Kluyveromyces lactis: one gene and its partner. The protein of the gene in region 1 interacts with the protein of each later gene in a pairwise test. Links are inferred from orthologs where the notes say so. Each region holds a gene or a part of one and is shown in the gene's direction. Other genes may lie near its edges.

Region 1 (3,631 bases):
TCCTGGAAAATAACGATTGAAAACAAACTGTCAAACACTATGAAAGATTTCGAAAATGATATCAATGAGTTCGCTCAGGAGAAACTAGATCACATTCAACCTACTTTGGCAGATCTATTGAAAAGAGCCAGTAACACTTCACAAACCAACTTCCAAATAATCACTAAGGCCATCATGGATGTAAATTGCACTGAAAGTGTGGATCCAAAAACCAACAAAACCATATGGTTCGACCAAAACAATACCCAGCTACCTAAGTACATGACCAGAGAATTAATGCGTGAATATTTCTCGGCAGCACATTCACAATTCGATGCACTATCACAAGAGATACGCGCTCATCTACGAAAATTGGCAGACGAAGTGAACGATCACGTCGAAGTTCTCCGCCAAGAGAACGTCGAGCTGTTTGAAGAATGGGCAGATGTGATGATTACAGAATGGTCTAAGAATCTAGCCTACGTGGACGTGGCTGTTAACGAAGAGAAGCTGGCAGACTTAGAAAAGGAACAGCGTAAGAATTGGAAAGACTTCATGAAGTTGAAAAGACAAGTGATTAAGACAAGAGATACATTGATGGAGCATCCAGTGAAGCTTGACTCTCTACAGTCCTTTGTGAACACAGTACAGCAGTCGTTGAAGACGCTCTCTCATGAAAACGGAGAATATTTGTACATTTTGAGAAGTAAAGCTAATCTAGAGTTCCAAGCACGTGAGGCTTTAGAGCGACAGCAAAGAGAGAAGGAGAAGGCAGAGTCCGCTTCGATGAAAGCATCAACTGAATTCGAACTCTCTTCCTCTTCCTTTTCCTCTTCCTCTCCCTCCACTGCATCTTCATGCACTGCATCAAGTACCTCTACTGCTTCCTTACTCGCTGTGGAAAAAACTATCGCACTAGAAGACCTGCAATCCTATTATCAAAATGTATCAAGTACAGATTCTCTGTAACGCACTGTAACATTTCCCAGCATCATCTAATGCTGTACGTGCAGCGTATATAATAATATAGTATAATATGTAGTTTAATGACATAACTCAACTGTTACCCTCCTTCGGTCTGTGCATGTGCAAAATTAAAATTAATCCGCTGTCCAAACTAAACGAGCACATGTCCAGAAAAGGAATTTTCAACGACTAAAAATCAAGTTTCTCCAGTAAAGTAAGAAAGACTTGCCACTCAGAGCTCATCGTTCAAAGGACACCAAACTGTTCAAATCAAGGCATCGCCTTGTGAAAAAAAAAGTAAAAAAAAAAAAAAACTGGATAAAACTGAAAAAAACGAAAAGGTTCAATCTACCGAGTATATAAAAGGAACAGAAACACATTTGGCAATTACGTTGGATTGGGATATTCATAGATATAGATTCCTTACGTACTTTTTGATTAAAGTTAATATTAAGGTTTAGTTGTTACGCAAAAGCACACACCACATATACAACACAAGAACATACATATAAGATGTCTGCTCCAGCTCATAATTATAAGGTCGCTGATATTTCTCTTGCTGCCTTTGGTAGAAAGGAAATCGAATTGGCTGAACACGAAATGCCAGGTTTGATTGCCATCAGAGAAGCCTACGGTGCTGAGCAACCATTGAAGGGTGCTAGAATTGCCGGTTGTTTGCACATGACCATTCAAACTGCTGTTTTGATTGAAACTTTGGTTGCCTTGGGTGCTGAAGTTACCTGGAGTTCTTGTAACATTTACTCTACTCAAGACCACGCTGCTGCTGCCATTGCCGCATCTGGTGTTCCAGTCTTTGCTTGGAAGGGTGAAACCGAAGAAGAGTACTTGTGGTGTATCGAACAACAATTGTTCGCTTTCAAGGACGACAAGAAGTTGAATTTGATCTTGGATGATGGTGGTGATTTGACCAGTTTGGTTCACGACAAATACCCAGACATGTTGATGGACTGTTTCGGTTTATCTGAAGAAACCACCACTGGTGTCCACCATTTGTACAGAATGGTTAAGGAAAACAAGTTGAAGGTCCCAGCTATCAACGTTAACGATTCCGTTACCAAGTCTAAGTTCGACAATCTGTACGGTTGTAGAGAATCCTTGATCGATGGTATTAAGAGAGCCACCGATGTCATGTTGGCCGGTAAGGTTGCTGTCGTTGCTGGTTACGGTGACGTCGGTAAAGGTTGTGCTGCTGCCTTGAGAGGTTTCGGTGCTCGTGTCATTGTCACTGAAATCGATCCAATTAACGCTTTACAAGCTGCTATGGAAGGTTACCAAGTCATCCCTATGGAAGAAGCTGTTTCCTCCGGTCAAGTCTTCGTCACCACCACCGGTTGTAGAGACATTATCACCAAGGAACATTTCTTGCAAATGCCAGAAGATGCCATTGTTTGTAACATTGGTCACTTCGACATTGAAATCGATGTTGCTTGGTTGAAGGCCAACGCCACTGAAGTTATCAACATCAAGCCTCAAGTCGACCGTTACTTGCTACCTTCTGGTAAGCACGTCATCTTGTTGGCTGATGGTAGATTGGTTAACTTGGGTTGTGCTACTGGTCACTCTTCCTTCGTTATGTCCTGTTCTTTCTCTAACCAAGTTTTGGCTCAAATTGCTTTGTTCAAGGCTCAAGACAAAGCATTCAGAGAAAAGTACATCGAATTCCAAAAGACTGGTCCATTTGATATCGGTGTTCACGTTCTACCAAAGATCTTGGACGAAGCTGTTGCCAAGTTCCACTTGGACAACCTAGGTGTTAAGTTAACCAAGTTGTCTGACGTTCAATCTGAATACTTGGGTATTCCAGAAGAGGGTCCATACAAGGCTGATCACTACAGATACTAAGCTGAGTTCATCTAAGAATATCTTATCCGAATCATCAACAGTAGCGTATTGTAGCCTACTTCGATCTTTATGGATATCTCATTTTTTTCATTTGCTCATGCTTTTACAATCAGTCTGCTAGCTTTTCTATGGATGATGACTTTCCTTCGTGATTGTAATAATCTTTTAAAATAACCTTTCTTTCTATTAGCGGTTTCACTCAACTGAATTCCTGCAATAAATTGCACATTGGGTATTTTACATTAGCGCACCATCATTAACATTTTCATTAACATATCAAGCTCATAAATTGTAACTCTCAGGCGTTCTCTCAGTGAGATATTAATACGACTGTACAATGCTTGGCATTTTTTTTTCATATTATCTTTCAATGAGTATTAGATACAGAATCTACACTCTCATTTAATGTACATATCACTTTATAAATTACTTACTAATAACAGATCTTCAACGGTTAATTCAAGCGTAGAACGCCCACATTTCTGCAAGACCTTAACATTGCATTCAAGCCTGTACAGTATAAATCTACACATTGCACTTGCATTGTCGAGTATCATATTGGTGGACTTTGTCTTGTTTTTTCTGCTTAGGGTAACTGGGAAATGGCTACAATTGAGCTCCCTTTATTAAAAAAGGATAAAGTTTAAAGATCAACAATACCTATCTGAGATTCTGAAGTCACCAAGAGAGTAATATTTTACGCTATTGTCACCAGTTAATACCGAGGCTTACGTAGGTGTCCAAACATATTAACAGTATAAGGGGAAGTTAGCGTTTGGAACGTAAAACTTGGCATAAGATGAGCAATAGCAAAATGGATTTG
Region 2 (3,067 bases), on another chromosome or scaffold:
ATCATCACCAAACAATGAATTAGTATCAACATCATCGATATCAGCTGCATCTCCGTTGCCAACTACATTATTGCTATCGACATCAGGATTGTGTCCACTCAAGTTAGGCTCAGGAAGTTCGTAGGCGGCATTGGTGGGTCTGAATTCTAATGAAGACAACTGTGATGTAGCATTGAACTTGGTTATATCAGTTCCTGTTTCCAAATCCCATTCAATGACGGTTTTGTCCCAAGAACCCGATAAAAACCTAGTTTCCTCATCATTAAGTACAAGATGGTTAACGATGGATTTATGACCTTTAAAATAGTGTGCAGTCCTCCCTTCAAAATATCTAACACCCTGCATTACGATACCGCCAGTTTCTTGTCCGGCTAGTATGAACAAACATTCATTTTGAACCGCCAAGGAGTGGACAGGTGAGACGAGAGGAAGATACTCCGACTTTTGTTTTACCCATTTTACTTTTGACGGAGGTTGCGGTACTTCATTCTCCCAATAAGAAGTCAAGATACCCGCATTGACAATTGAATCCACCAATGCGTTCTTCTGCTGAATAGTTAGTGATAGCTTACCATCCACAGTATTTAAGAAGTCAAACTTCCTTATAAACCCGTCTGACCCACCGAGAAATAGATACCGTAGACCCTTGGACATGGTCAATGCCTGTACATTAGTCTGTATTGGTATTGCTGCAGTTGGAAGTATATTATAAGATTCTGCTACAGATGCAGATCTATAAAGAGTCGTATAATATTGATGTATCTTATCCAGCTTTGACATTTCAGTAGATTTCCCATCTGAAGAAGATGGAGAATCCTTCTCAGAAGTTGCGGATTCCTTTTCGGCACTCTCGGCATCATCATCTCCAATTTCGTGGGTATTAGATTGTTTAATTTCCCCCGTTCTCGTGCCCTCTTCACCATTCTCTGTCTGTTCTTCATCTTCTTCCTCGTCATCATCGTCATCATCGTCATCACTGCGTTCATCATCATCATCATCATCATCATCATCATCCTCACTTCGATCTTCAGCATCTTCGTCATCGCTCCGATCTTCATCCTCATCGTCGTCATCATCGGCATCTTCAGCATCTTCATCTTGTTCTTCCTCGTCCATCGGCTCGTCCTCTTCGGCGTTCGGAACATCCACATCTACATCCTCCAATTCATCGTCCATGTCAACATCATCATCTTGAGTATTTTGAACGTTATTTTGATTCAAGATTTCATCCACATCATCATCCATATTGGAACGTGGCTTAGGTGGGAAAGGACAATGTTTTGTTGTGATGTGTTACAGTGTTTCCTGTCATATTCACTGTGTCCTAAATTCGTACAGACAGGTTTATTTTGGTTGAAATCATTTCAATATCAACAGTTTTATTTTCCAAATATCAAATTGAATCAGAACACTTTCAAATGGAGACAACAAGATAACGATCCTATTATACACTGGCGGAGCTTCTAATCACCGCTCAATCGGTATCTAACTATAGAACAAGTCACTCAAACCTTTGAAAACTACAAGCCAAAACAAATAATGGCCTCGAACGACCTAGCAGTGGAAGTGCACGATCTAACGTACGCATTCCCCGGAAGTAAACGCTCAGCAATCCACGATCTATCGCTAAGTGTCGAATGGAACAAGAAAGTCTTAGTGGTGGGTAACAACGGTGCTGGAAAATCTACGCTGTTGAAACTACTAAGTGGTAAACATTTGTGTCTCGGTGGGAACATAAAAGTTGGAAACAAGAACCCATTCGCACCAAACAATGACCAGGAGTCCGTGATACTGACTACTTACTTAGGCACTGAATGGGCTAGTATGGCTATTGTACACAGGGATATAGGAGTCCTGGAACTCTTGGAGAGTATCGGACTAAGCCACTACAGGGCTCGAGGTGAAGAGCTAGTGAGAATCTTGGAAGTGGATATCAATTGGAGAATGTTCAAACTTAGCGATGGCCAAAAGAGACGTGTACAACTGTGCATGGGTTTATTGAAACCCTTCAAAGTTCTGCTATTAGACGAAGTCACTGTGGACTTGGATGTCGTGGCACGTGACCGTCTATTCCAATTCCTGGATCGAGAAACGAGAGACAGACAATGTAGCGTTGTGTATGCAACGCACATTTTCGATGGGCTAGCACCATGGGCTGATGAGATTATCCATTTGCAAGATGGCACCATCACAAGAACGTTGGATTACCAACGTGATATCCACTTTACAAAGGAAATAGAGGGCGTCCAAGAGCGAAAGGACAACGGACGACACACCGTGATACTAGGCTACATGAAGAGTTTATACCCGCTTGCACTCCACTGGTTGACCAGAGACCAAGTCGAAGACCAAAAGCTTTGATTCAACTTCTAAACGGTCAAACCGATATATGTCTGTAATATACTATATATACATAATCAGACTTTAATCATACACAAAGCGAAAGATAAATCACGTGAGTAATATATCGGTCCATTGCCTAGGTTCCCTCCCTTCCTCGTTTAAAAAACGTAATGCTGCCAATCGTATAACGTCGTTTACGGGATTTCGCCTCGAGGGAACGAAAAGAATGAAAAGCATAATACGAAGCGAATAAAAAAAAACAGTTAGGAAACCCCAGAAACTGCCGTACCAGAAAGGAAACTGGGTGGTGCTGAAATGTGCATCAAAGCCCAACTGGCGACAGAAAAACAGGCCACAACTTGCGAAAAGTACGCCGTAAACACTCTAGAAGAAAAGAGCTAGTCGTATAGACTAGCTGTGATAACGGTATGAACGGCTTGGTTTCGCAAGCCAATGCTTATTGAAGAAATGGACCGATGAGGCTCGATACTCTTCGCATTCTATCGTTAAAACTCGGGTTTTTTATCGTTCAATTTGGTTAACTTCGTGAAAAAAAAGTTAAAAATGAAATCGTGATATTTTCTATACACACTGATATATAAATAATATATGTATATAAGGCGATGAGTTAGCCAGTTTGATTTAGTTGCTAGATTCAGATCGTAAAAGCAGCAGGAATAAGTCGGCATATAGAAGCAAAACACAGTAGAGGGAGAATCCCAAG

What was found.
Region 2: the proteins of SAH1 (region 1) and CAF16 interact in binary tests that used the Saccharomyces cerevisiae proteins (3 or more experiments, as listed by UniProt). The link is inferred for Kluyveromyces lactis from reciprocal best matches to the Saccharomyces cerevisiae genes SAH1 and CAF16.

The regions. Positions count from the first base shown.
Region 1 is NC_006037.1:109,701-113,331, forward strand, and holds SAH1 (adenosylhomocysteinase), read left to right. Parts: upstream 1-1,458; coding exon 1,459-2,808; downstream 2,809-3,631. Other genes in the region: KLLA0_A01177g (uncharacterized protein), read left to right, coding at 1-948; glucose-induced degradation complex subunit VID30, read left to right, coding at 3,608-3,631. UniProt on the Saccharomyces cerevisiae protein: Adenosylhomocysteine is a competitive inhibitor of S-adenosyl-L-methionine-dependent methyl transferase reactions; therefore adenosylhomocysteinase may play a key role in the control of methylations via regulation of the intracellular concentration of adenosylhomocysteine.
Region 2 is NC_006042.1:820,500-823,566, forward strand, and holds CAF16 (putative ATP-binding cassette family ATPase CAF16), read left to right. Parts: upstream 1-1,539; coding exon 1,540-2,361; downstream 2,362-3,067. Other genes in the region: SAGA complex subunit SPT8, read right to left, coding at 1-1,245.